4 linked regions of the Lonchura striata genome follow. The protein of the gene in region 2 purifies or fractionates together with the protein of the main gene of each other region. This does not show direct contact. Links are inferred from orthologs where the notes say so. Each region holds a gene or a part of one and is shown on either strand. Other genes may lie near its edges. The genes, in order: COPS8, CUL5, ASB7 and SOCS6.

Evidence for each region.
Region 1: the proteins of CUL5 (region 2) and COPS8 purify together in Homo sapiens (affinity purification with mass spectrometry; 3 studies listed by BioGRID and IntAct, with this or other methods). This does not show direct contact. The link is inferred for Lonchura striata from reciprocal best matches to the Homo sapiens genes CUL5 and COPS8.
Region 3: the proteins of CUL5 (region 2) and ASB7 purify together in Homo sapiens (affinity purification with mass spectrometry; 6 studies listed by BioGRID and IntAct, counting the BioPlex papers as one, with this or other methods). This does not show direct contact. The link is inferred for Lonchura striata from reciprocal best matches to the Homo sapiens genes CUL5 and ASB7.
Region 4: the proteins of CUL5 (region 2) and SOCS6 purify together in Homo sapiens (affinity purification with mass spectrometry; 5 studies listed by BioGRID and IntAct, counting the BioPlex papers as one, with this or other methods). This does not show direct contact. The link is inferred for Lonchura striata from reciprocal best matches to the Homo sapiens genes CUL5 and SOCS6.

The regions. Positions count from the first base shown.
Region 1 is NC_134610.1:38,284,734-38,291,882, forward strand, and holds the start of COPS8 (COP9 signalosome complex subunit 8), read left to right. Parts: upstream 1-4,142; 5' UTR 4,143-4,216; coding exon 4,217-4,294; intron 4,295-5,087; coding exon 5,088-5,158; intron 5,159-5,907; coding exon 5,908-5,956; intron 5,957-6,129; coding exon 6,130-6,262; intron 6,263-7,056; coding exon 7,057-7,149. UniProt on the Homo sapiens protein: Component of the COP9 signalosome complex (CSN), a complex involved in various cellular and developmental processes.
Region 2 is NC_134604.1:44,393,946-44,401,341, reverse strand, and holds the start of CUL5 (cullin-5), read right to left. Parts: upstream 3,019-7,396; 5' UTR 2,772-3,018; coding exon 2,748-2,771; intron 1-2,747. UniProt on the Homo sapiens protein: Core component of multiple cullin-5-RING E3 ubiquitin-protein ligase complexes (ECS complexes, also named CRL5 complexes), which mediate the ubiquitination and subsequent proteasomal degradation of target proteins.
Region 3 is NC_134613.1:21,482,784-21,490,728, reverse strand, and holds the start of ASB7 (ankyrin repeat and SOCS box protein 7), read right to left. Parts: upstream 3,001-7,945; 5' UTR 2,931-3,000; intron 2,226-2,930; 5' UTR 2,131-2,225; intron 1-2,130. Other genes in the region: LINS1 (protein Lines homolog 1), read left to right, coding at 6,831-7,235, 7,322-7,411. UniProt on the Homo sapiens protein: Probable substrate-recognition component of a SCF-like ECS (Elongin-Cullin-SOCS-box protein) E3 ubiquitin-protein ligase complex which mediates the ubiquitination and subsequent proteasomal degradation of target proteins.
Region 4 is NC_134603.1:56,548,323-56,555,492, forward strand, and holds the start of SOCS6 (suppressor of cytokine signaling 6), read left to right. Parts: upstream 1-4,164; 5' UTR 4,165-4,359; intron 4,360-4,410; exon of another isoform or gene 4,411-4,489; intron 4,490-5,064; exon of another isoform or gene 5,065-5,086; intron 5,087-6,416; exon of another isoform or gene 6,417-6,493; intron 6,494-7,170. UniProt on the Homo sapiens protein: SOCS family proteins form part of a classical negative feedback system that regulates cytokine signal transduction.

The sequences.
Region 1 (7,149 bases), on a different chromosome or scaffold from region 2:
AGGATCCCGGAGAACAAAGCAAAAACAGGAAAATGCACAGACAAGCCTGGAAAGTCATAAAAACAAAGTTTAGGTTAAATACACAGAGGGTCTCTTATGCCCTTGGCAGGTTAATTAAAGGGCAGCTTTTGCCTCCAGAGCCTGTGGCAGGAGCCATCGCTCCTGGTTACTCACAGAGAAGACAAGAGGAGGGGGATGGAGGTGTCTGGGGTGGACAGAAAGGAGCCCAGCCAGCCCCAGATCTCAGCCCTAGGGGAGATTTGCCCCGGAGCAGCAGCAGGAGGACACAGAGCCCCACAGGCAATGACAGCTGGGTGGAAAAGCCTCATCACTTCCAGCTACTCTGGTCACTTTTTGGTCTCCTACATATCCTCCAAGCTCCTCAGCCTCTCTGATTTAGGGTTTGTTTTTTTTTCTTTTTACTTCATAGAATCACAGAATTATAGGATGGTTTGGAAGGGACCTTATTTAAAGCCCATCCAGTTCCACCCCCTGCCATGGGCAGGGACACCTTCCACTATCCCAGGTTGCTCCAAGCCCCATCCAAATCTGACCTTGAACACTTCCAGGGATCCAGGGGCAGCCACAGCTTCTCTGGGCACCATGTGCCAGATATTTATACCACTGTGCTGGAGTATAAACCTCTAGAATTGAGACCTTGGGTGTAAGCTGAAAAATCAAGGGTGAGGTCAGCAAAACAAACAAACAAAAAAAACACACACAAAAAAAAAAAAACCCAAAAAAAACCCCCAAAAACCAAAAAAAAAAACCAAACAAAAAAAAACCCATAATATCCCAAATATCCCAGATAGCTTCTTGTTTATTGGAGTTGAAACCAACGTCCCTATGGACATGCAATAGATTGAAAAGCTTGTTTGGGGAAAAAGCAATGATAATTTCCCACCAGCCGCTTGCCATTTCCTTTCATGGGCACAGCTCCTAAAAACGAGGCATTTTCCCCTTTGATGTCATGGAAGGAAATAACCTTCCGTGTTTGGATCCAGCCTTTGCTCAGATCAACCCAGCTATTGCCAGTCAGGCTGTTGAGGGAATGGGAAGGGCGTGGGGAGGTTCATCTTGACCCTTTAGCACCATTTTCTTTAACTTTCACATTAAATTACTGTCCTATTGTTCCATATCGCCCCATTGCATCCTAATTTCCCCACCACGAGTCTTTTGTTCCTCTACAAAGCTTTGGAAGCAGATGAGAAAAGGAAACCACTTGCAATCATCTTTCCAGAGGGTACCTCCAGATCACAGGCAGCAGCACATGGAAACAACTGGGAAAATTAAGCCCTGTCACGAAATGTCTGTTAATTTTTCTTGGAAATGCCTTGGTATTGCTTTGAAAGCTACTGGGTCTGTCCAGGATGGCAGAACTGGGATCCATTTCCCTCCCTGCTTTAAAATTCATGCAAGGCACAAACGAGTTGCTGAGATTTTCCTGCCATCATCACCAGGAGCTGAATAAAAATCACATTAAACTTACTTTACACTCCTGCAGCAGCCAGCGGCCACTGTCTTTAAGTGCTTTTTGAGCCTGTGGGCCAAAGAAAAATCAGGATGCTGTCAAGTCAAGGAGCCTTCCTGTTAATTTAACGTGGTTAGCTTTGCCAGTGGGATAGATTTTCCAACGTGCTCAGCTGTTTTATGAGTCTGGCCTCTTCTTTTGGTGTCTGAATTGAGGAGAAATTCCTGAGTGAAATAAATGACCTTGTGGTTTTCTGAGATGCTGGCTCAGGCAGCTGCCATCACCGTCCAGAGGTCCTGGGTGATGCCACCACACTGAGGTCAGGCTCCAAACAACGCCAGGAACATCTTCCACACCTCCCGGATTTATAACAACCCTGAAAATACAACAAATCTGCTGTATTTTTTCTTGGTGACTCAAAAAGAAGAGTATTCCCTTCTGGCATGTTTCCTCCCTGAACATGTTGCCACAGCCTTAAATAGCTTTGGAAAAGGGGGGAAAAGAGAGAGGGGAGGATGCAGAACATGCTTGCAAAAGGGTAGGTTCTGGCTAATTCCCTGCCAAGGAATTGCTTCCAGAGAGGGGCTGGTGCATTTGGGAGGCTTGGCTCAGCAGTGCATGAAGCAGCACTTCTTCTGTTGTTCCGAAAGAAAAATGAAAAGCAAAACGAAATGTTAAAAAAATAAAGAAACAAAAAAAACCCAACAACAACAACGAAAAACCAAAACAACAAAAAAAAAAAGCCAAAAAACCCCCTAATTCCCCCCAAATAGAAAGATTCTCTCGGGTGGAAGGGACAGCGGGATGTTTGGACGTCCAGTTTCCTTGGATTTTTAGGCAGTTTCTCTTGCAGCTAGTGCCCTCTTGAGGAAACCTCTCCTCTATTCTATTTTTACAGGGTTTTTTTCCCCCGGATGAAATGATCTCCCGGCGGGGAGCAGGAACATGGTCAGGGGCTGCGATTCTGCCCCGGCCCAACACAGCCAGCGGTGCCGGGGACCGGCTCACGCCTTCCCACCTGGACCCACCGGGAAGGAGGATGGCATCGGGATGTGGGATTGCAGCCCCCAGGAGAGGAATCCTTCCCAATTCAACGTGTTCCCGGTGGCAATCCGGGATGCTCTGACCCCATCCCCGCGGGAAGGTCCCCCACCGGCATCATCACAAGCTGCCGCCCTCTTTGCTCCCCTCCTCGCCTCCCGAAAACACGAGATAATTGGGAACGGGAGCAAAAGGTGAGGACAGTGCTCCTCTCAGATGTCCGAATGTCAAAGCGACGCTGGCACAGAGCTGGCGGCTACAAAGGGCCGTCGGGATCGATGCGGCTGGCGGGGACGGCAGCGGGATGAGAGGTTGCTTCCCGGGAAAGTGATGCCTGAGCCGGCGGAGCAGCAGTGCCATCGCCTGGACCCTCCTCCAAGATGCTGTGCCTCAGGCGAATCCTAAAGTGAACACAAACACACGTTAATTTTGTTTTTCCACAGCCAAAACCTCTCCCGCAGCGCGGGGACTCCGTGGCAAAGGGATCAGGATTTACCCCACTCTTCTTTTTTTCACCCCAAAAGTGTGGAGGACTCACGAGTTTCACAGCGAGGTGGTGCAGCTCTTGAGCACGGCTTGGGAAAATTCCCTGCGTGAAGGATAAATGGCTTGGGGAATGATTTTTAGGGCAGTGCTGGGGATGGAGGATGGTGGAAGCGCTGGGGTCAGGCTTTGTTCAAGGAATATGGAGAGGAGGATGATGATGGAAAGCAAACCCGTTGTACCAGAAAAGGAAAGTTTTGCAGAAAATGAGCCCTTCGGGCTGATTTTACCCTGAAAATATGAATTTACATCTGCGGCCCCAGCAATACCACTGATTAGGATATTGGTGCTGCATGTTGGGAAAAGCGTGAGCTCTGAACAGGCTCCCCGGGGAATGGTGACATTCCCAAATCTGCCAGGGCTTAAGGAATGTTTGGACAAGGCAAAGGCTGGGATTGCTGGAATAGGTGTCTGTGCAGGGCCAGGGCTGGACTTGGTCCTTGTGTTTAACCCAGGGTACTCCATGCCTATGGCCTGTCTCCAGCAGCCGGCAGCGGGTTTCACAGGAAACAAAGATAAAGGAACCCAACTGTAAAAACTACTTCTAAAGCCCAGCACCAACAGGTACAGAGCTGGAAAAGCACTCCCTACCCCTTGAGAACAACCCTTACGTACATGCAATAAGGGATGTGCAATAAGGGATGGAGGGCGTCCGCCTCACGCAGCGCATAAATGCGGCAGATACGAAGAGAAAACCGTATTGCACGCCAGGCACACTCATTTCTTTATAGGGCGCGGAAAGTTGGCTTGTCACACAGAAAACAAAGGGATTTTAAAGGGCTGTAACCGCGGCCGCCCTCAGGCGCCGCGCGCCCCCCTCAGCCCCTCACGGGCTCGGCCACGCCCCGTATTGGTCACGCCCCGGATTGGTCACGCCCCCGGATTGGTCACGCCCCCGGATTGGTCACGCCCCAGCCACGCCCTCTAATTGGTCACGCCCCCGTATTGGTCACGCCCCCGGATTGGTCACGCCCCCGGATTGGTCACGCCCCAGCCACGCCCTCGGATTGGTCACGGCCCCGTATTGGTCACGCCCCCGGATTGGTCACGCCCCCGCGGTCCTCCAGGAGCGCCGAGAGGCGGGCGGGAGGCGCGGAGGGGAAGCGGAAGTGACGTCATCGCGCGGCGCCCGCTGCGGGCGGGCGGCGCCGTGAGGGGAAGATGCCGGTGGCGGTGATGGCCGAGAGCTCGGCGAGCTTCAGGCGGCTCCTGGAGCAGTGCGAGACGCAGGAGCTGGAGGTGCCGCGGGACGGGGGGCGGGGAGGGGTCTGTGTCCGTGCGTGGGAGGTGGACAGGGTGCGTGGGAGCGGGGGAGGGCTCAGTGTTTGAGCTTGCCCCTTGGGCTCGCCAGAGAGCCCGTCGGAAAGTAGCACCTTGCAGATAAATGGGTGTTTCCGTATTATTATTCGCGTCGCTTCAGAGGGAATGGAGGGAGTGGTGGAGTTTGTGGGTTTCCGTCCTTCTCGTGGCTGAGAAAATGAAGGTATCGATCAGGGGAGTGCAGCCCTGAGCCAGGCTCGTGGAATTACCCTTAGAACGAGTTTAATGTGGCAGCTTTCACTGGGAGCTCCCTCTGTGCTGCTTTACGGTCTGTTGTCCCTTGATAAAAGGCCCGAAGCCTCATTGGAAATCTTTGCAGCTTTCAAATTTTTTCACCTTTTTTATCGCTCCTTTATTTCCTCCTTGCGAGCGCTGCTGAGGTGTGGCAGGGGCCGAAGCTTAACTCGAGGTTCTTGGGAGGGACGGAGAGGCTTTGCTGTGGTGGAGTGGCCTGAGCTGAACGTAATCGAAGTGGGCGGGTGATTTAATTTCACTTTCAACAGCTGCAACTCCTATGAGCATAGGAAGATGGAGGCTTATTTATTCCCCCCCTAGAAAATTGCAAAGACCTGTTACATGATGTGAGAAAAAACATAAATAAAGCTCAGTCATCTTGGGAGTGTTCAGTTTATGTAAAACCTGGCTTGGTGCTGCGTTTTGTATCACATCCCCCTTTAGAATCTGCAAGCCAAGAATGTGTGTGTGTTTTCAGGCCCCTGGAGGAATTGCCACACCCCTGGTGTATGGCCAGCTGCTGGCTCTGTACCTGCTGCACAACGACATGTAAGTGGCTTGTCCCAGCCTGTGGCACTGGCTTTGTCACCAGCACGTTGGGAATGGGCTCTGGGATTAATAAAAATGTTGGTTTTATGGAGAAATAATAACAATATTCCCAAGAATCGAGTCTCTTTCACCCCTTGATCTGTCAAGAAAGCTGTTCTCCTTTCCTGTGTGGGAATTTGGGAATGCAGTTCCTTCAGTGGTGAAATTGGCTCCTCTGGGAAGTGTTAAACATTTCAGAGATTTGTTTTGTAGCTCTTCAGGGCTGCATTTGTTTTAGGTTGGATTTGGGGTTATTATGGATTTATTGGTTTGTTTTGGGTTGGATTTGTTCCTTCTGTTTAAATTCCAGCAGGATAACTCTGGACCATCCCTGTTAAACATGAGTGTTACTATTGGCTTGAAGGAGCTAAATCTGCAGGAATTCCTGGGAATTTGGTTTGGGGGGGTTATTCCATGTCTCTGGGTGTACTTAATGCACTAAACTTGAGGTTTTGGGGAGAAGTTGCTTTCCCAAACTGGTGTTAAATGAGGCAATTAAAGAACTGTTGGTTGTGTTACAGCAGTGCAGTGTTGTCTGCTGGAGAGCAGCTCTGCTTTTCCCACTTCAGTATCCAATATTCCTTCCTGGAAAGAATATTTTTAAAGCACTGAGAATATTCATTATAGCATCTGGACAAACCTTGTGGTGTCTTTTTGCTGCATATGGTGACTGAGAAGTATTTTTCGTCTTTCTATTTATTTATTTTTAGGAATAATGCACGTTATCTCTGGAAAAGAATCCCTCCTGCTATCAAATCTGTAAGTATTGGGCCAAATTTACTTCAGAAACCTGCTGGTTTTGTTGCACAGCAATGTTCTCTGAAAATATGGGGGTGGAAATGGGTTTTTGCATAAGGATTTTCTTCTGGATTAATACTGGCTTTTGTTTTTGGTTTTTTTGTGGTTTTTTTTTTTTTTTTTGGTCACAACAGGCAAATGCTGAACTTGGTGCAGTTTGGTCAGTGGGACAAAGAATCTGGCAGAGGGACTTCCCAGGAATCTACACAGCAATCAGTGCACATCAGTGGTCTGAGACTGTCCAGCCAATCATGGAAGCACTCAGAGGTACAAGCTGAGCAGGGAATTGCCTGGAATTATTTATGTCTGCTCCAACAGAAGCAAATTGTCAATTGTGAAAAATCAGGACAACTGTTGCCAAGTTTTTGTAGGTTTTACTAAAAGGTTTTCCGGTGTCGGGTGTAAATAAATAGCTCTACAAAACCTTGTAGAAACAAGTAAATTGGTCTTAGTAGGATTCTGTTTCTGTGTATTTTTTGACACTGGATTTTCATAAACCATGTGGTTTGTTCTGTAAGAGCAAAACAGACCATAAATCACCCAGTTTTATCAGACTTCTAACCAGGGAACTTGGCTTGGCATTTCAGAACCTTGTAGGACTTAGAAAGTGGTTTTTCAGTGAAATGTTTTCCATCTTGTGTAATGGTAACATGCAGATTCTTGCTCCTAGAGGGCAGTGCAGACTGCTAAAAAGAGGTGTTTTGCAAAACAGGTTCCCTAAAACTGCTTTTTAGATGCCACTAATTAGTAACTAATTGCTGGCATATTGCCATCAGAGGATGCAGAGTTCCCTGAAGTGCTTTACATGCTGGTGGTGCAGCCCAGGATGCTGCAGGCTGCGCTTGGAAGTTCAGTGTAGGCTCTGAGGGGCTTTGTCCTGGCAGAGAACAAGCTGTTGTCTCTTGCTGCTGACTGTGAGCTGTGGGAAGGGAGGGGGAACTCCTGAAATGCTCACTTGAAGGCTGGTAGTGATTTTCCAGAGGTGGTAGAATTGAGGAAATGTTCTCAGCTTTCCCAGCTCTGGAGATGAGTCTCTTGTGTCCTGTGTTCTCTCTCCCTAGATGCAACCAGGAGACGAGCCTTTGGACTGGTTTCCCAGGCTTACACATCAATAGTTGCAGATGATTTTGCAGCCTTTGTTGGCCTTCCTGTAG
Region 2 (7,396 bases):
CTCCTGCATTTGCTGGCAGCTCCAGTAAGGCCCTACAATAGCAAGATCTGCCAGCATGGATACAGCTATAGGTTTTCTTTGTGCTACAATAAGCTAACGTCTCTTCTGTTCAACAAACTTCAGAAAAACTGAAATGTCTTCATGTCACATGGGTGAATTGGTTTAGACTGTATCATCACTGCAAAGAGAACAAGTTATAATCCTACAGGGCCCCTGAAATGAAGTATCCCACTTTAGAAGTGTCACATGTGTGTTGAGACAAAAAACTCTAGGGACTCCGCTGGAAATGGCTTGGTCACCTATCAGAAAGCCACTGCCTCAGCGAGGGAGAGCAGCTCTGCTACAGGTAAGGCAGGCACCAGCTGACCCTGTAATGGCTCTTACTAAGCATTTCCATCACATTACAGTTTGCTCTGTCTCACTAGGATTCAACACGACTGCTCATTCTAATTTTGCATTTAAAGAAGGCTCTCCAAGAATATGCTTTTCAGAAAAGAATTTACAATTAGGAAAATTAAGCACTAGTGGAGTTTAAATGACACCCTCAAAAATTATGATGGCCAGTCAGATTTCGATTCAGCTACTATCTGTTAATAGAATCAGAAAGGAATATTTCACTTCATTGTCTCAACTATGCGGAAAGCTGGATGGGGGAAAACAAAAGAAGATACTCAGGTCCTGCTCATGCTGGCAAAACTAAGGCCTGTCTATACCCAACATAGATTTGATTATGCAGGCTTATTTGAAACAGATATGAAAAAAACTTTCAGATTTTAACACCTCTCCTTCCTTATCCTGGGATTTTTACTGTGCCCAGACATTGTTTTTTTCCCCATTTAAAGATGAAAGCAGAAGTAGGTTGGACAGACTCAGAGGGCACAAGGCACTGCCAGGGAACACTGACCTGGAATGAACAGTTTGCTTCTCAGAGAGCACTCTGACAAATGGAATTGGGGAACAAAACACCTTACCTATTTCTAATTCTCACACTAGTTTATCTTGCCATTATAAACCAAGTCAAATCACTGCATAATCTTTCCTTCTGTAATGTGGGAATCATACTTTATTGTCATTGAAAAACTGACTAATTAGTAAACTAAATGCTTAGTAACACTTTGAGTGACCAGAAATGCCTATTTTACAAGACATCTCTGCGGCATTTTTCCTTAAACACACTGCACATATATATCTTATTGTCAATATAAAACACTGACGACTCAAAGGCCAATGGCAAAATCATGACCAGTTAACAAAAAGACTTCAGTTTGGCAAGGGACATCGCACCAAGTCAAGGCCTCTTTACTGCTCTTTCAAAATAGCTGAAGTGGAATGCTGACAAATCTTACGGCTTATGTTTCTCCTATCTGCTGTGGGCTATCCCATCACATGTATCATCAGAGCATGTGCTGGACTTTTGAGAAATCCTCAAATGCACAGAAAAGAGATGATCTAAAACATTAACAAGTGGATAAAACTGAGACCTGCTCTGAACACATGCATTTCCACAAAAAGAATATTTCTTCTTATGAGATATTTTTTTCGCCTGTATTCTTAGGTTCCTCAGTTTTAGATTTTTAAGTATTTTGAAGTATTATCTGCTTAAATATCTAACAACTTCTTACAGGCATAAAACTATACAGGAATGAATTCAAAATAATTTCAATTTCAAGGAAGATTTTTTTTAAACATTTCTTTTTAATATAGAGTTTTTTTAATATCCTGAAGAGACAAAGGGATAAATTAGTTCTCATTTCTTCACAATGAATGTCCCAGAGTAATAAATAAAACCAGCAGATTCAGGCTAAATCTATGCATCCAAATTAGGTCAGGTTAGTAAAATGCAAGCAGCACTTTTCCAGGACCATACTGAACTATAACATGCAGTAATGAACATATGTTTATGCCTATATTTATATATATCTTCAATTGTCAATCCCTCAAGCAGACAGCCTGCCCTAGGCCTATCTTAGCACTGTAGTTAACTGGTGGTTTAGAAACACTTACTGTAGGCACTAATAACAGTGGTTTCAAGTAGGCCCGTCTTCCCTGTGCTAGCATGGCCTCAAAGGCCACACAGAGTCTTCTCCTCATACATACCACAAAGATCAGGACAGGCAGTCCTGAACTCTAACACTGGACTGTCCCACTGAAATCTTCCGTTCCAACCTGTAGGAGCCTGGGGTGACTGACATCTGCCATCAAACGCCAGGAAAGTGCTTGAAAACATATGACTACAAAAGCAAAGCTGCTTAACGTAAGTGAAAGGCCTCCGGGAGTTCTCCTTTGCAGGAAAACTGCAGTTAACAAAAAAACTGGAACACGGTGGGCACCCCAATAACGGCACCTGCCCTCGGCAAAGACATTTTCCAACTCTTTGTTTAACTTAAAACTCATCTCCCGTACACCCGGATTTTCTTAAATAAACAAAGAGAAGACACGGTGCCCTGTCTATCCGCACGACGCAGCGGTGTTTCCCAACGGGGCGTGTTTGGGAAGGGAGAGCCGGGGGCAGGGATCGCGGGCCGGCAGCAGGCAGCAGCTGCCGGCGGGGCCGGGCCGGGCCGGCAGCCCAAGGCCGCTCACCTGCGGGCGGGCCCTGGAGCGGCAACCCCGGCCAGCGGCACCCGCGGCCCGCGCCAGGCCCTGCCCCCGGCCCCGCTGCCCTGCCCGGCCCGGCCAGCGCAGGGCCGCCCGGCCCCGCCGCCTCCCCCCTCCTCCCGCAGGACTCGGCCGGGCTCCGCTCTCACCTTTAGGAGATTAGACGTCGCCATGATCCCCACTGCGGGGCCTTCCCGGCCGGCCACGGCGGTTTCTCTGCTCGAGCTCGGCTCGGCTCCCACCGGCCGCTGCCGCTTTACATGGCCCCGGGCCGCTCGCCCGCCCGGCCGGACCCGCGGCGGCAGCGGCAGCAGCGGCGGCGGCCTCAGCGTTAGGCTTCCTTGTCCCGCGGCGAGGCTCAGGGAGCCCGGCAGCGGCTGGGACCGGCCGGGTGCTCGGCACGCAGCCGCCCTCAGAGCCTCATGGCAGCGTCCGCCCGGGCGGCGCTCGGCGGCCGCGGCTCCATGGAAGGGGCCGGGCCCACATGATGCGGCGCTGGGAGCGGCCCCGCCGCCCCGCGCGGCCGCGGCCCGCCTGCAGCGCCCCCTGCCGGCCCGCCGCCGCGCCGCCCGGCGCCGCGGGGCGGGGCTCGGCACGGGGCCCCGCGTTCGGCGGGACGGGGCGCTGTGGCCCGCAAGCGCAGAAACAACTTGACTACTAACTAACTAACTAACTAACTAACTAACTAACTAACTAACTGACTGACTGACTGACTGACTGACTGACTGACTGACTAGCCCCGGCCGTCCCGCCGTGCTGTCCCTGCGGGTGCTGCGGCGCAGACCTCCGCACGCCCTGGCGGAGGGATCGGGGAGCACCGCGGGCACACCCGCACGGCCACCCGCACTGAGCCGTGTGCCGACAAGCCAATTCCCTGCCCTACGCCCATCCAGCTAAGCCGCCACGCTTCGTGCCAGATGTCACGAATGTTCTATTTACAGAATTATTAAGTGTGTAAGCATCTGCAGGAAGGGTGTCAGGAGAATGGCCAGGCTCTTCTCAGTGGTGCGCAGCAACTGGAAGGAGAGACGATGGGCACGGAAGTTCTACCTGAACATAAGGAGGAACTTCTTTACTGTGAAGATGCCCGAGCACTGGAACAGATTGCCCAAAGCAGTTGTGGAGTCTCTCTCACTGGAGAATTCAAGAACTGTCTGGACACAATCCTCTGCTCTAGGATGGCCCTGATTGAGCAGGGAGGTTGGAACAATGACAGGGAGCCACCGGTTAGGGAATGTCCTCCTTTTAAGTAGCAGGGAGAATGGAGTCCCAGCTTGGGGTATGGGCAGGACCCTAACTCTCCACATGGCAGGGCGCACGGGGTGGTGTTCGCACCTGGTCCTGCACGGGGTGGACTGGGCAGGTGGACGCATCTGGTTTCAGCCATGAAAGGGGAGTTAGGGGATCCTCCTGGCCTGGTGACTCAAAGTGAGAGTGGCCAGCTAGGAGAGGCCGTTCAGCTCATTAGGAGCTGGAGTCGGGGGTTGGGATCTCCTCCTAGCCTGGGTCAGGGAGAGTAGAACCTACCTACCATAGGCAGGTAATTTATAATTTCTATTTTTCTTTTACGTGGTACTTCAGTTACGTAGTTTTTACTTTCGAGTCCAGGACTACCTGGATGTAATTTGTTGGTATAATTGCTTTTTAGATACTGATTATTTGGGATACAAATGGTTATTGTTTAACTGTTTCCAGCCGAGTTAATTGTGTGAGTGTGGAAGGTGGGAGCACCAGTATAGTGAGGTTCTGGGATGGATGGTGGCCAAGAGTCCCCAGACCACTCACCAGACAGGGAAAGTGAATTTAAAAGCATTTAGTTAGAGAGAGAGAATTTCTGCATATTGTACTGTTAGTTTGAAAGCAGAGGTATTAAAATTTATAAGCTGCTAATTTTTATGTTTGAGTTCAAGACTACTTTCATTTAGTTGGTACTAACTATTTTTTTGGAATAAGTAAAAAGTTTAATTTTAATTTTGGGGTGAGTGGTGCTGACAGCTCTGAGGTGCCATTTTGAGTGCGAATCAGTGGTGGCTCAGAGGACCCATTTTGTGACTGGGCTGAAAGGGAGGGGGAGCCGTAACAGGCAGGCATTGATTGATACAGAAGGAGGTGGACCAAGGGGGGTCTAAGACTGACAGAGGGCCCTGGTGGCCGTCTTGTTAGCTGTGCTTAAGTTTGTGGTCCTTATCATTAAATTATAAGAAATACAATTTATTTATATGTGTGACTTAGTTGTGATTGGAATCTTGTTGTCAGTTATAGTGAGTTCTTTTATTGTTTTTTGTCTCTAAAGATTGTTTGTTTTATTGGATTATTTAATTTTTTTTGTTCATTGTATTTATTTCAATTGCGAGAATTCCAATTTGGCATTTTGGATCATTAATAGTTAAATTTTGTTTGATCTTTTTATTGTAATCTATTCAGATTGTTTTATTTAGTTGTTTCTGTTAGATTCATATGGTATTCTAATAGTTTAGTTTTATTTTGATTCTACATTTTAATTGTTTTATCAATTTTAATTCTACATTTTAATTTAAATTTTTAAAATTTAATTCTACATTTAAAATTCTACATTTTAAAATTTAATTCTACATTTTAATTGTTTATCAATTGTTTTAGAATTGTTTTACTAGACTAAATTTGTCCAATTTAATTATTTAATTCCAATAATTCAATTTAATTATTTAATTATTTTATTCAATTGTTCTACTTAACAAAATTTGTTTAATTATTTAATTCCAATAATTCAATTTAATTATTTAAATTTGACAGGTGTGATTTAAATTATTCTATTTCAGTTATTCTGTTTCAATTCTACTAATTATTTCATTCTATTTCAATTATCTGATTTTCAATTATTCTCATTTAAATCTGAACTAGGTTAAAAGTTGCTATTTCAATTATTTTATTCTAATTGTTTTATTTCAATAGTTTTATTCTGATTTATTTAGATTAATTTTTTATTCAATTGTTAAATTAAAAATATTCCAATTGTTTTATTTCAATAGTTTTATTCTGATCTGTTTATTTCAATTCATTAATCGTGTTATTCAATTGTTATATTAAAAAAACAAATCAGTTTTGTCAATTCCATTGTTTTGTTGGATACAGTTATTCAAAATGAGATCATCATATTCTATTGTGATTGCTTATTTCTAATAATTCTATTTAATTTTAATTGTTTTATTCCAACTGTTTCTTTATTGCATCCAAACTTACCAAGTGTTGGCGCAAAAATGTGTGAGTACACAGAATTCAATAGCACCAGTGTACTTTTCATGGTCTGGTCTAAGTCCCCTTAGGCACCTGACAGATATCGTGTAACACGCTGCTAGCCTGGATGGGTCAGCAGTGACTGTTCTGGGTATGAGAGTTTGTGCATCCTGCCCCAATATGCTCTTGTGAAATACTTATAAATAGGTTAGCCAAGGAATAAAGAGAACTTGAACATCTGAGAAGCAGAGAGACAAGGAAATGCTGGTACTTTTTACTGATATTGAAAATAGTGAGTATCTCATTTTACATGGTTTATACAATGACTGTAATTGTTTGGGTTTTTTCCCCCTGAAGATCTGTACACGAATTTTCTGGGAAGCAAAGACATCTGTGAATCTTAAGGATTTGTAGGATGTTAGTACCACTTCAGGGTGTTTCTGCAGTGCTCAGTGTTACACAATATTGTTTTATTTACTTTAATTCTATTACAGATGGATTATTATTCAATTCTGCTGTTAATGAAGATATTAATTACTGATTGGTACTACACTGGTCTACAGTTTTAATCCTTTGCATGGATTGTAAAAGGCAGAGGGAATCACAATCCCAGACATGCACTGCTTCAAAGTGATTTGCAAGGAACAGCTCATTAAGATTTGGATGATGAGTGAAACTCATATCATCATAATATTCTATATATTTTGGAGTACAGTGATTCCAAGCTTTGAATGAGTTGCATCAGAGAGGAATATGTATTTCTATGATCTGTTCTAATGACCTGAAACCAGTAAGATGAAAATAGTTTCTTCTAATCTTAGTTCATGAAGGGAAAAATGTGATGGTTGATTAGTCCATTTTAAACTCTTCTCCCATCAATCTAGTTATATTCAGTAGGGATACTAAGACTTAGTTTTTCTTTCAATTGGAAATTCTTGTTTATCACTGCTGTGGATTGTCACAACGAACCCATGCACAAAACGTACTGTGAGTGACTAAAGACAATCCTTTTAAAAGGGCAAGAACACTCAGATATCTACCTATAGCTGAAAAAAGAAGCACTGTCAGTGACCAGACTTCTGTGTTTGTTTCCATTTCAACAGGTAAGCAAACACTTCTGGTGTTTTCTATCTGGGCTTCACATCACCTTTTCTGTTAATAACAATGGCATTCTGCAGAAATTGCCTGCATGCGACAGTAAAGACTATTGTTGCTTTCACTTAAAGCAGCCCAAGGCTTTGCTATTTTAGCATCACCAGAATCACCTATCCTGTGCATCTCAGTTGGACCCCTTTGTTCTCATGCCAGCATTGTCCTTTAGCTTAAATAACCTCTCTCCCTGATGTTTGTTTTTCTCTGATGTAATTTTTAGACAACAGTACTATTACCTCATAGTTTCCTTGCTGAAAAACCTTACACTTTTTATCCTGAGTGTCATTGAGGATGGTGTGGGGTGGTGCAGAGCAACTATTTGCAGGCAGAACCTGCAGGAGGTTTTTTGTTGAGGCCAGATTCCTCCTGGGACACAGAAACACATGGCATGTATTAGGCAGAATGTGGCCATTGTTCCTCACACAAGCACAGA
Region 3 (7,945 bases), on a different chromosome or scaffold from region 2:
GTTAACTGCTAAGATTCATGATTTACTACCATTAGAGCACCCAAACACCAACACTGCATGGAATGACAGAATCAGGAACCAATGGTGAGTTCAAACCACATTAAAGGAGTCTCTTCAGCCCTAATTCTCACAGCACAGCTGATAAACCAAGTACTGCTTACAGAGTTTGGGTCATTCAACAATCAACAATCTCAACATTCAACAATCTCTAGAAGTACATTTGATACATATTTCTATTTAATGCAGCCTAAAAGAATCCAAGAATCCAAGACATCCAAAATTTGTTGGATTTGTTTAGTGGACAAAGCAAGATTTTCACTGTGATAATATCATTCTGTAAGCATTACTGGAACAAAACAAAACCATCCTTCAGACAGCACATTTCCTTTAAGGGTTGAGGATTCACAATGAGGAAAAACAAACCCAAAATGAGCATATAGCCTGAAGATTAAAGCTTTCTCTAAAGGGCTGCTACATTTGCAACATTCTGCATTTCTTCCAGGGATCAAGAGCAGGATATCAGTGATCTCTGTGCCTTGTTCAACCATGTGCAAATTTCTGCCTGAAGTTAATTCCCTGATTCCTATGAACTCAATTCCAGTCTCTGCATCTGAATCAAACTTTGCTGCACTGGCATTTCACACTAGGAAGGAACTTCACAAATCAAATGAAAACTTAGGTCTCCTGTTGTGAATAAATCCCAAAGATCCCATGAACTGTTGGCACCAAGAGGTGTCCTGTTGGAGCAGCTACAGCCCTGATGTGAGAGGCACTGGGTGGGTTGGGAAAGAGAGGCTATAATAAACTAAATTCCGATTAAACAGCTGTGCAATAGCTGCACTGGTAAGTCTGTACTGATGCACATCTGCTTCACCTATTAGCAGGAAAATCCCCCCTGGAATCACACTGGGCATGTCCACATGTTCTGCCATTACTCTCGAGTTATCAAAATAACATGGAAAATTTCCTCCCTGCACTTCCAAAGTGTGCCTCAGGATTTGTTGCACTTGTGTTACAGAGGAATTTTCTATTTAATTTTCAACACAGAGCAAACACTTTTTATGTTAATCTAAAGACATCTGTATTGGAAAAATGATCCAGCCTTGACCAAGGCTGCTGGCAACAAATACTGCTGTTTCTCCTGCAGGCTAATGCTCAAAAACAACTGATTGCCAACAATGAACAATGTTTTGGTACAGTCAGTGACCTCTCTGAAAACACGACACAGATCAGAGGGACCTCTAGGGAGGGCATCTTAGGCAAAAAACCAAGCTCACCTACACTTGAAACAGGTTAAAATGGCTTCAAGACAGACTCTGCGTTAGAAAAAGGCGCAGAGCCTCCATCCTTTGGAGCACGCTGACAGCAGGATGCAGAAAAAGTCTGACTGACATCATTCACCCCCCACTCTCTCTCCTAGGATCCATTTCTTCATCTCACCACGTAAAACACACAATTCTCCCTACGAACAGCTCTCCCCCTGAAACAGAACCTCCCTCCTACCAGCAGCATTGGATTTGATGACTCCTTTGATTTTTTCCCCTTAAGCACCCAACAGCATCATCTCCTTCTATGATCTCAGCCCAAAAAGTTAAGTACTTGTAAGCAGACACCATCCAATTAAATTAATTTCAATTTTTGCAGCTCCGTTACAACACGCACACAAAAAAGTGACCCACACAGGAGTGAAGTATGACTAAACCAATGTAATGCAATTACCATCACCCAGCCCAATAAAGATTTTAGAATTGAAACTGAAACAAAAGCAGTGCTGAACCCATAAATTTATGGAAAGACTTAAAGAAAAGATCCTTTTAACGACCTACAGCCAAGTATTCTTAAGTGACACCCCTGAGATGAAGACACAAAAGCCCCATTAAGCAGCAATTCATAATCAAAATAACATTTGCAGAATAATTTTGGAAAATTATAAAGTGTTACAAGAAGAACTGTACTTCAAATGGGATTCAGAGCTTTCAAACTTTAAAAGATCAACAGCCAAAGCAAGTAGGTTTTAAAAGAACAAAGAAATCAAATGCTACCTATTAAAATCCATAACAACACAAGAGGCCCCAATCCCAGCCAAACCATGTGTCTAGGATGACTCTCAGAGTCTAAATGAATCATCACCTTTCTGGGGGTTTTTTGAGTGCTGCTTTCTCTCTTCTGTGTTATTTTGTTCTTTGGAGTCACTATTTTTAATTCTCCTTTAAGGCAGCTTAAACCTAAAAAAAAAAAAAATAAAAGTAGTACTGAGCCACACAATGACATAAAAGAGAAAAATGAAGAACAGAACTGGTTAATACAAAAGCAGCAACTGGGCAAAATAGGAAGAGCCTTCACAAATTTGGAAGGAAAGGGGTTATTCATCAAAATCGGGATCTCTCCTGGAAAAAGAGGACACTCTCTCAGGATACGAAGGAGTTGAAGGGATAATAACTGCAGGACCGCTGCCCCGTCAAGGCAGCTCCTCCAGGGAATGGAAGTAAAGATAAGTGCTAAAGAATGGGACAGGAAGTAACCCAGAAAGCTGAGCTGCTGGGAAACCAAACCTCTGCCTCGCAGAGGAGTTCACGCTCCAGGAGCCGTCAGCCGCGCACACACACACACAAACACACACACACAAAAAGCCGGCCGAGCCCCGGCGCACAGCCCCGAGGCCCGGCGGCCGCCAAGGCACCCGGCCCGCCGCCGGGGGCTGGGGACGGGGACCCCGCTCCGCGGGCAGCCCCGGGGGCGGCCCGGAGCCCGCCGGGCGAGCGGGCAGCGGCGGTGAGGGGCTGCGCATCCCTTCCCAGGGGGAGCGCCGGGGGCTCCCCTCACAGCCCCGCACCCGCCGGAGGGGCTGCCCGGTGTGGGCGAGGGGAGGCCATGGGGTCGCGCCCCCCCCCTCCCCGCGCCGCGAGAGACCCCGGGGCAGCCGGGGTTACCTGCGGGACCCGCGTGCCGGAGCGGGGCGGGCCGGGGGCCCCGGGCGCGGCCGCCCCCCGCGCTGGCGGCGGCGGCGGGCGGGGGGTCGGGGGCCGAGCCGAGCGGGGACACTTCGCTCCGGGCCGCCCCCCTCGGCTCGCGGCGGGGTCGGCGGGCGGGGACTGACCCGCGCCGCGGCCAATCCGCGCCCGCCGCGCCGGCCCCGCCCCCGCCCGCGCGCCGCCGCCGCGCCGCCATTGGCCGCCGGGCTGACGGCGGGCCCGCCCCCGCCCGCGCGCCGCCGCCGCGCCCCATTGGCCGCCGGGCTGACGGCGGGCCCGCCCCGCGGCTCCGCCCCGCTGCCGTAAAGCCGCGGAGGAGTCAGGGGGAGGGGGTGACTTTGCGACAGGGGGCGGCGGTGGCGGCGGTTCCGGCGCTGTGATCGAGCGGAGTTTGGGCCTCGCGGTCCTCCGGGAGCGGGTGAGGGGCGAGCGCTGCCCGGCGGCGGGGCGGGGGCGGGCCCGTGCGCGCCGCGGCTCGGGGTGACTAAGCGCGGCCGCGGGTGCGCGGCGGGAGGCCGAGAGGCGTGGCCTGGAGCGAGAGAGGCGGGGCCGGCCGTGAGGGGCGGAGCTTTGAGCTGTGGGCGTGGTTTGGCTGTGGGGCGGGGCTTTGGTAATGAGGCGGCGGCGGGAGGGGCTGAGGGGGAGACGGGCGGGGCTGAGGGCGGGAAGTCGCTGCAGGTGCAAGGAGTCCAAAGTGTGGTTTATTCCTTAAGCACTACGGTCATTTCATTGTAAGGACATCCAAAGCCTTCCGATTCATACCCAAAAGTCACAGACTGAGCCTTTCGCTTCATCAGATCTAATTTTATAATGAAAATAGGATGGGGTTTTGGATAATTTTTTCCAGAAAAAAAAAGGGCCTTAAAGCTCATCTCTTTCCATCCTTTGCCATGAGCAGGGACACCTTTCACCATCCCAGGCTGCTCCAAGCCCTGTCCAGCCTGGCCTTGGGCACTCCCAGGGATCCAGGGGCAGCCACAGCTGCTCTGGGCACATGTGCCAGGGCCTCAACCCCTTGCAAGGAACAATTTCTTCCTAATTTGACTGAATTAACATTGTTGATAGCACATTTTCCTTGCTTTATTTTTTTTAAACTTTAACTCAGAGATATAAGTGAAGAAGCTTAAGTTTCTTCTCTCATTCTGTTTGCAGCTCCACTTGACTTTGGTTTTGATTTTAAATAATTTTTAATTATGAAAGTAACATACAAAACCTGCTTTTTTTTTGTTCTTTCTTTCTGCGTAGTTTTCTTTTCCATCTTTTACATGATCAGTCTATATATAAGGTTTTTAGAACTATTCCTTGTTGTTTGTGCAGGAGTCTGGCTCTGTGAGGCATTGCCTTAATTGGTTTTTAGATGCTGTCAGGAGTAACTCAGATAAATAATACAAATAAGGGTTGGAGCTTGTCACTGCTTTTCTTTACTCTTCAGCTTTGAGCTTTTCACTCTCATGCTGTGTCTGAAACAAATTTAGCCCTTGTCTGATATTTTCTCCCTCTTTGAAGTAAATGCCTTCAAAATAAGCCCCCTCACTTTTCATTTCCTTCAATGGCTTACGTTTGTGAACTGTTGTCATGTGTGAGTGAGAAATATCTTAGAGATGCTTTTGTGAAGTTTGCAAATTAATGGTGGAACACAAATGTGTTCTGGGAGGATCCAGGAAGGCACAGCCAGCGTCGTGTGGTGAAGGTGAAATCTCCCAGTGGGTGTCCTAGAAAAGTTCTGAATCTCTCCTGCCTTAACCACCTTGCTGGATCGTGTGAATTTGTGCATGAGATCTCTTCCTCTACCACATAAGGTGATAATTCAAGCTGATCTCGAAAACAGGAGTAAATGTGTTGAGATGATTTTACTTTATTAGGTAGTCATTTAGGAAGAAATAAAGCTCAAGGATAGGAACAATAGCTATATAAAATATTCAGAGTGATTTCTGAAAAAAATTTATGCCTTTTCAGGTCATAAATTTCCACCTTAAGTAGAATTCTGAAAAGATTCTGCAAATGAAGAGGGAATTTATTGCCTGAAATACCAGATGTATTCTTAACATCCAGCAAAATGTGGAGGATGGGGGAAGGGTTCTTGCTTCTATCAGGTGAGGAACATGCTGTAACATTTTGGGGTTTTCAGGTCAGCCCTTGCCGAATGTCTTTAAAAATACCACACCAGAGGGAATTGTAGATTACTCCTGCAGGCAACTTCATGCTCTCAAATTTTAGTTTCTTTTCTGGAGGAAATACTTCCTGATGTGGGAGAAGTGATGAGTCAGGGTAGCACATCTTGGTCTACCTCCAATCCTTCGTGCCTTTGGGAAGCCATTTTGTCAATACATGCTTTAGTATCAATGACAAAATCAGGTTGTAAAAATGAAGGTGTCATTTTCAGTGTTTGATGTTGTTTTTAAAACTTGTGAAGATTAGAAACTACAATTAAATGCCTCATATGCTGACTTCTACAATTTCATTGTTTTCTAATATTCTGCTAAAAACAATTTAAAATTAATTTAAAATACTTGGTCTAGTGACATATGCAGGTAAAACTGCTACATAGATGGGAAGATCTTTAGAATTTCTTGCTGGTTTGAAGACTGAATGGTTTTCTTCCTTTGGTAAGAAGGGGGAAATGCATTATTTAAAGAAAAGCCAACTACAGGTGTATGGCTGCAGGATTCTGCCTGGAATTCTACCTGGTTGATTATGCCAGACTTAGATATGGGGATCCAGAAAGCATGCAAGTAAAAAAGGTATGAAAATTCATATAATCAACTTTAGTTCCACTCCTAACTTCACCATAGATAAAGGTAATGAGTTTGTTGGTTTTAATTAAAAGAAATCTGATTAGAGATCATGTTAAAACTGCTCTAAAAGATAAATATTACAGATGAGCATAATTCTTAATGTAGGTGAAAAGAAACCAAATTTTCTCAGAAAAAAAATATCCTTAATATCATCAGGCTATCTGTCTGGCCATTTATATACTGGACAGAAAATTTTGAGGGCTTAGGTGCTCATACCTGATGCAGAAATTTGAATTCTTAGTAGCTCTTCATTTTAAACTGTAGCCAATATTCCAGTGCTGTGATTGAAAGATGTCTTCTATTGACATGGGGATAAAGACTTTTTTTTTAACCTTTCCTGAATATGTTTAAATGTTTTTATTGGCTCTTAATAAATTTGACACTCTGATTTTAAATTATTCTTTAATTTTCACTTTCTTAATTGCTTCTTAATGAGGTTGGCCCACCTTGAGCCTGTGTGCAGAAGTCAAGACTTGTCCTTCCTTTGGCTTCCATTTTTTTGAGAGCTGTTTCCAGTTCCAGCCACAGTGGAGCAATGAGCATTTCCAGTTCAGAGGAAAATTTGCAGCTGAAATTTTATGCCTGTTTTTGGAGGCATCTGTCACAAAAGAATTTAGATTCTAGTAGTTTAGCAATGTAGAGAAAGATTTAATCCAAGTTCTCATATCTTTAGAAGTAGTCCCTAATAATAGTTATCTTTGGGTTTGTTAATTCCAGCTAATGAACATTGGTGTTGGTAATATAATACTGGAACTGTGAACTTCTTCCCAGCATGGTAATTTTTCATTTTAATGTCTCACTGAGACAGTTTTGTGCAGCTGAATTTGCATTTTCAAAACAAGTTTAATAATGGTAGCATTAACTCTAAAAATGTGTTGTTCCTTTATATTTTCTAGTTGCTTGCAAAGTAACAGCAGAATGTTTTATTTATAGGTAATTTAGAAGAGAAATATCCAGTGGTGCTTCAATTTCTCTTACTGTATGAAAGTGACTTGGAAGCTGATTTGCAGTGAATAATCAGAGAAGCCACACAGCATTTTCTGGAATATTGCATGATTTCATCATGAAGATCTCTCTCCTGCAGCAGATGTATAAGGACGTCCTGGCAGGCATTCCCCTAGCAAGGGAAAGCCATTATTATTCCTCTTTAATTAATCTGTGTGTGGAGCAGCCACCAGGAGGAGATGAATCCTGTCATCAGCAGCATCTGCCATCTACTGCTGGTGGCGTTGGGAGGCATCAGGGCACTGATTTGTCAGGTGTTGTCCCTGCAACAGATGATTTATCCAACAGCTTTGCCAACATGAGCTCCTCGTTCTGCCCACGGGAGGTGATGCTGCTCCAGCTCACCTTGATCAAACTGATGCTGGCCAAAGCAGAGTCCCAGGAAATGGAACTCCACACGAGACAGAAGTACTGTGAAATCTTCATTCTTCTTCTGAAGGAGGCAAAAATTGACTCAAAATTGGTAACTTCTGAAAGATATTTTTAGGAAAGGAGGAAAAATAAAAAGGGATGTGCCTTAGATATTTTTCCTTTTTTACCTGTCTCCAGATTCACCTGCTTGGTTCTGATGATCGGCTGTTATCTCACATGGCCTCACAAAGTTTAGCATCTCTTGTGTATTTCCAGCTGAAGAAAGAGGTGAGTGTGGCATCACTTCACAGCTCAAAAAATGAATTGGTGAGCCTGTGCCTGCAGGTTGTTCCATTTGACTATACAGCCAAGTTTTTCTAGTGTTTGTATTTTCTGAGAAACTTAGTCAGCTGTGTTAGGAGGAGCCTGGAGTATGGAAGGTAAAGAGATATGATGTGTAAACAGAAGTGTGGAGTGTTTTTATATATAAAAATCTGGAATTTTATGAAACTCATTTAATGTAAAGTGGGTGTGGATTACAATCATGTCTTTGAGGTTGCAATACAGATATTAAAAAGCCATGATCTAGACTATCAGTTTTACAGTTCCTTGGTATCTGATGGGTGATGCAGTAGATAAAAATAAATAATAACCTCTTGGAAGTTAATAAAATGCTTTAGTGTATGCTCTTGTTGAATAACCCAATTACTTGAGGTTTTTTTAACTTGCTGTATATTTAGTGAATATGTATTGCAGTCTCCATAGTAGCATCCTGAACACACATTTATTTCATAATTATGTTTGTAATATTTCTCACCAAGT
Region 4 (7,170 bases), on a different chromosome or scaffold from region 2:
GAAACAGAAGCAATAGCAGTACTCTGATTAAAATGTAGCACATAATTTTTATGTATGATAGCTTTTAGTAGCTGTAAGAGGTCTTAATGCCATCTATACCTTTTATTTCAGCAGTACTAGTAAATAATGCAAATTTAACTCCAATCTGAGACAAAAGGTTTGTCTGTGTGAAAGAAACTCCTGTATACTTCACTTCATTTTGGTGGTTTTTTTTTGGGTTTTTTTTTTTTTTTTTTTTTTTTTTTTTGTAACAATAGTATTAAAATGGGTGGAGGGGGAACTCCCTCCAAAAAAAAGAAAAAAAACCCACTTTGAAAATATTTACATAAATGAACTTTAATAATAGAAATTGAATTTATCAACAGAAAATGTGCAAGAACCTAAGAGAAACTAAAGTGGAGCAAACAACCTACAATGTCTGAAAACCATATGTGATGATGTGATATATGGGGACTTCTAATACATATTATAACATAGGAATATAAATATACTATATTATCTAAAAATACAAATAAAGGAATACATAAATTCACATAATAAAAAAGGAGAACAGGAATTTTAAAACCATAAAATTAGGCCACAGTTACAAAAAATGATCAGCAATTTAGTGATTTTGGATATATGGCTTTCCTTAAAAGCATATGTTTTTTCAAGGCCATCTGAACACTTAAGATCTAAAAATCAAAATCCTATAAAGCATTACAATAATTTAAACATTTCAGTAAAATTACAACAAATTCCCTTTCTGAAATATACTGAACAGGAAAGGAAAGCATTTGGGTGCTTAAAATAAAATCAGAGCTATATGACTGCAAGAACAGTTAGACAAAGGCACTAACCTCCCACCACAATTCAGGCCAAAGAGCCATGGCCAGGGAAGTTGTAAGAAGGTGATGATAATCTATGCCATTCAGGTAGATAGCAATAAGAAAGAAATAGATACAATGGACATAACTTTTGGCTTTGTTGTCCGTGAATACTCATAATTTAGGTTTCTGACCTGTCCCTCTGCACTACAGATTTGTATATACACAGTTTGATCTAAAAAAATAATAAAATTATTTATAATCACATTTTTAAGTAAGAGAGAAAAGGCATAAGCATATAAAAATAGAGAGTACATCAATATGCAACCCCTAAGTAATTAAAACTGGGTGTAGAGTTCCTGATTTTAGAACCTCCCAAATATAAAGAAATCAGATGGGAAAAAAATTATTTTCTATTACCAAGACCAAATTTCTAGTTCTTGTAGTTTCAAAAAAGCTAGCAACTGTGAAGCAAGTCTGATAGGTGATACATACAAAGAGCATTGAAACAAGATGCATGAATGTACGAACAGCCCAATTTAGTTCAATATGTGTTTTTAAGCCAAGAAAAACTCAACTGAGTGATCCCGCTTGCATTCTCCTTGTCTGCCATCCAGGATGCAACATCAGTCGCACACTTGTGTGAATTCAGACTTGGTGATAAACTGTTGCTCTCACTAGGATATGGCTGTTTGTTGCCACATTTCCATGGGGAAAAGTCTATCCTAAACTTGAAGCTGTATGTTAAGACTGAGTCAAACCAAGAGCACACTGGTTGCCTATGGAAAAGAAAAAGATGTGAGAAATAAGGCATCGGTTCTCCTTTATGTCACAATTTATTGTTAGGAAAATGAACCTCAATAGATTTTGCCACCTGAGCTGGCTTAGAGAGGACCAATGAGGCCTGGAGTCACTGAAAAAAAGGAAAGGGTGTGCACGGGCAGGAGGAGGGAAGGAGATGGAGAGAAAATGAGAAAGGTGAGTGCTTGGAGTAGTGATGCTAATTTAAGCCATATTTAACATCATCACTACTGAGAAGAATGTTAAGATATGGAAGATTTGGGGGAAAAAGCTACCAAATATTTTGCATTAAGTTTCTTCAACCTTCCTGTTGTCTATCAGTCCCATTTCTGCAAAAAGCTAAGTCCTTTTATTCATAAGACTGATAAGAGAGCACTTTCAGACACATGGAAACCTTTGGTCAACATATGGCCTGGAAAATCTCATCATCCAGACTCAACTGTTTTTTTAGTAGTTTGAGAGACTGTAGAATAAGATTTCTAAGATGATTTTAAAAATTCATCTCATATGCAAGGTAGATCACTGCAAAAGTTGCCTATGGTAAAAGCTCCCTGAAAGCAAAATGAAGGACAAACATTTTAAGCCCAGTTGGCTTCTTCACATACTGCTGCTATTGTCCCACAGCTGCTGCTGAAAAGTTTATACTAAACAAGCTTAAGTTAATACTACATATATGTGTCAAGCACAAATGCCAGCAGAATCCTGAAAGTAATTACTTTTTCAAATGCTTGTATCCCAAGGAAAAAGAAGCCCAAGAAGAAGGTAAGATCATACACACACACAAAGAAAAATTCCTTGTTTCACAAAATGACAGAACTGCACAAAAATTAAATTATTCCCCATTAGAGCCTTGCTTGCTCTCTCTTATTCCCCTTTTTAACTTGGTTGCTAAACTTATAAGTTTATAAGACTTATAACAGGAGAAGAAGGAATGCTCAATGCTGTAAAAAAAAAAAAGTATTTTATTATTTGTTTAATTTTCTTTCTTTGAACACCACTGCCAACCTAGGAAGTAATTTGTATTTTTCATATCTACAATATTGTTTTACAAACAAAAGTTAAAACCCATAAGGTTTCATGTGATCCACTTGAAGTGATTCTTAGCTTTGTTATACCACTGATAATATGTAATCATAATCGTAAAACAAACAGTTCTAATCTAAAACACTTAATTAAAACATAAATCATTCTATTTATAAATTAAAAAGTCAAACCTTATATTTGAGAAAAAACATTCTTTCTGCAACTCTGATTAGTCATCATCTGAAATGGTCACAGCCTGCCAGAAACTGAGGTTGATTCGACACATAAGGAAGCATACGACCCTTGAATGAGACTCAAGGAAAGTATTTAATTCTCTATAAATGCCTGGGATATAAAAATATGAATACAATAAAGGCACACTCGGATCTCAAATACCCTAGGCAGTTAAACAAGTCACTGACCTGAACTCACTAACACCTCAGATCTCCCGGAATTCAAGGAGCATGTGCATGACATCTTGAGTGTCATTGGATACTTCTTAACCTTGAAGTCAGTTGCTTCATAATAAGCCATACAAGTACTCTGTCATGCGACTACATAGGTAAGCAAATTGTGCTTATCTGTGCAAATCTGGTTGTTAATTTGTATCAGTTATATACACTACAAGGAGGAAACTAAGGTAGTATTTTACTAGCTGCTCAGTAAAATAGCAAACACAACTTGCAACAACTTTTCAGTCAGCAAACACAACTTGCAACAACTTTTAAGAGCCGTATCGTCGATAGATTTTAATCCTTCACACCCTGCTTGTTGTTTCCATCAGTCTCACACATCCTAAACTAAGAATTGTTTTCTTGCTCAGGAGTTAGCATTTTATTTTTAAGAAGAGACCGGGGAACAAGCAATCAAAGAAGTCTGCTTGGCTGAAGTTGCTGCAGCACAGCTGGTATGCCTGAAGTTTAGTGTCAATTTCTCGAGGAGATCTGTGAAGCAGAGTGGAGCACAAAAGTAACGCCTGTTCTGGCGCGTCGCTTTCACGTCAAGAGGTGTGAGGGAAGGTGAAGCGGAGGAAAAGATCACCTCCCTGCCTCCCTCTCCCGCTCCCTCTCCAGCGCAAGCGGGCCTGGAGGGGAGCGCCCGTGGCCGGCAGCGGGGGGCGGCCGCGGGACCCCTCTGGCCGGGCGCTACCAGCGAGGGGCTGCCCCCGCCAGAACGACGAGGGGAGGTGGCTCCCTGTGAACTTGGCCGATGAGCTCCTGGAGCCCAGCGCAGCGCTCACACACCGGAGCGCTGGGGGAGAGAGGAAAGGGCCGGGGCTAACAAAGCCAGACCGCCTCCCTGCTGCCACTCCAGCGCGGCTCCCGGCTGCCCCCCGCGGGTTTCCCGCGGCCGCTAAGCGGGAACGAGCCCGGGCGAGGCGCCCAGACCCGAGCAAGGGAAGGGCCGCCGAGGGCTGGTGGAGCCGGCCGGGCGGCAGGGGCGGCCGGGCAGGCGAGGACGGAGCGGGGATGCCTGCGGCCCTCCCGCCGCCGCCGGGCCGTGCGCGGGCGCCGCAGCCGTAGCCGTGCCTGCGGCAGGCGGCGGCCATCGCGGGCTCGCCGCCCCCGTGCGCCCCTCCGAGGACGGAGGGGTGGGGGCAGAGGAGGCGGAGGAAGCGGCGGCGGCGCCAGGAACAGGGAGGCGGCGGCACGGCGAGGGAGGGAGCCGGAGCCGGGCCGGGCCCCGCGAAAGCAACAGCAGAGCCAGCTCCTCCTTCTCCTCCCCCTCGGTGAGTGCCGCTCCGCCACCCCCGGAGGTTGCTCCCCGCCGAGCCCGGGAGCCGGCGCAGGCCGGGCCGCGCCGCCGAGGTGCCCGGGGCGAGGCCCGCGCCGGGAGCGGGACACCGCGGCCTCCGCCGGGTGAGCGTCCCCGGGGCAGCGGGCGCTCCGCGGCCCGGCGCCCCCTCCCCGCGCCGCGGGGCGCGGAGGGCCGGCGCGGTGGAGGGGGAGCCGTGGATTGGGCCGGCGCGGTTCGTCACTTGCCCGCCGCCCTCTTCCCGGGCCGCGGCCCCGGCCTCGGCTCCCTTTGTTTGCTGGGCTCCCCGAGCCCGCGGCGGTGCCAGGCCCTGCGGAGCCACCGGGGCCGCGGCGCGGCCTGCGAGGCGGCCGGGCGGGCGGGAGGGAAGCAGCGCCGGGCCCGGGCCGGCGAGGCGCTGCCCGGCCCCCGCCGTGACAGGAGGGGTCCCGGCCAGCCTCTCGTCCCCGCCAGTCGCCGCAGCGGGGCCCGCCGGGCTCCCGTGCTCCTGCCCTGGGCCGCTGCCCGAATGCACCCCGCGCCTCCTGGTGCCATTGTGGGGGACGGCGGAATTGGGCTGATTTTCCTTCAGCCCGCCGTGAAATCCGCCTTCACTTGAGGCTGGTGTGTCCCCGTCTCCGGCAGGGCGGGTGCCCGGAGGTGGCGATTTGGGCAGCCGGTGTCGGGATTTGTGCGGTGGAGGAGCCCCGGGTTGTTGCGAGGTGAGGGTGCGCCGAGAGCTCCCGAAGGGGCGAGCGAGAGAGGCTCCTTTTTATGACAGACAGCGCTTAAGAACTTGCCTTCAACAAAAGCATTACCAGATCCGCAAAGTTTATTCGCTTTCATTGTTCTTACTCTCTTTCTGTCATGATGCCACTTCTCTTAGAAAACAACTAGTCCATGCCAGCCCGTTTGCTTATGAAAAAAGCCTTTGCAAAACAACGGGGTTTTGAGAAATGCAGAGGATGATGCTTCTGTGATGTGAGGGTACTTTGGCTACGTCTTTCTGTCCTCTTTATTTTTGTCTCCCTATGTTTTCAAAATCATCTTGGTTTGGAACGCAATGTTTTTTTTTCGTGTGGAGTAGGGCACTGCATTACAGTAGTTGCTCATAGAATATGCTTTAGACAGGGAAACTGACTTCCCCTTAAAAAATTCTTGTACCCTTTCACTGTGAGGTCTTAACCACTCTTTCCTACAGGCCAGGAATGTTTATGCCGTGTCTATCCTCTCAATACACCTGTAGTTAAAAAATGCCTGCTGCAGGCCTCCTGTCTTGGAGTGCTGCTGTCTGCACAAGTACTCCAGGAATAATGCATCTGCATTTCTTCTATGGGTGGAATAAAGTAGAACTGGTTCTGTTTCTAGTTTCTGTTTGTGCTAATAGACACATCTTTGGATTGTAGAAAATAGGGAAGCTTTGGTGCGATTATGAAACAAATTACTTAGCTTGGCTGGAAGACCCTAAACAGCTAGAGAATGTGTAGGTATTTTTTGAGTCTTCTGCAATAAGATAGTAGTCATAATGCACAGTTTTATGTGTAACTTAAGAAAGACAATTTCAGCTTTTGCAAAATGCAGTTTTTTGATGTGTTAAACCCCCATCAAGTACTGTTTTCACTTCCTATTTGATATTTCTTGGGTTTCTGGCATTACACTGTGTTTGGAACTGAGCTTTTACTTGAAACCAGGTTCACTTCTTGTATGCTTAATTAGGGATGTATTCCCTATATCCCAAGTTTTGAGATTTAAATAAATTTTTTAAAAGATAAAATTAAATTAAATAAGTGATAACAGTGTATTGTTATACAGACATACCCATATTAGCTAACTTCTTGGATTAGCTGCAAGGGTATGGAGTATTTAGCAAGAAGCTCTGTGTTGTTTCCAGGGGCTTCATGAGCATCACTTTAATGCACTGCATGTATTGCAGCATCCAAGTGTTTGCATAGATTCAGGAGACTTGGTAGCTTCATAAAAACTTGACGTACTGAAATCTAAAAAACATTTGTGTATTAATTTATAATATGCTGTTAACTTCTTTGATCCTAGATTGTGAAGTTGGTCAGTAACCCTGGGTTACTCTTGGAGAGGGATGGTTTGAAGAAATGGTAACTGGTTCTTATTCTGTGAGTAGATTATGATTTCTGACTCTCCTTGGCATAGTGAATTGGTGGAATGGGAGAGTGTAATCTTAACTAGAAGTTGTTCATACAAAGCAAGTTAATTATTTCTGCTCTTTCTTATGATTTTTTTTATAGTCTTAGAGTAATTTGAACATGAACACTTGCAGGACTTCATTTGGTAGGGCTGCCATGAGTACACTATATACTTGCTATGCTATTGTTGGCAGAAGTGGGGCCATAGTCCAGGGTAATCCCTAGCTCGAGTGCCTTTTTTTCCTCTTTCTTTATGGCTCTCTTGGGCCTACGCAGCACTAGTTTGATAGTGTTTGGGTAGTACAATGCAATAACATAAAATAGATAGGAAGGAGACTGTTCTCAGCTGGTGTGTGCCTCAGTGTTTTGTTGATGGGGCTTTAATGTGTGTTAGCAACAAATTAAAAGAGGGTAGCTCAAGCAGTTCTGATGCTCCAAGGAAGAAAATAAGATGCCAATAGCATAAAAGGGAATATAATGCAGATGCTAAAATGTCTTGAGTATAAATTGGATAGGATGAAAAACAGAATAGAGATATCCTATGCCATGTAGCTGTATATTTTGTACTGTAAAGTATTAAACTGAGAGCAAATACAGAACTTTGAGTTTACCCTTTTTTTATGTTTTTTATTTTTCAGAAGAGAAAT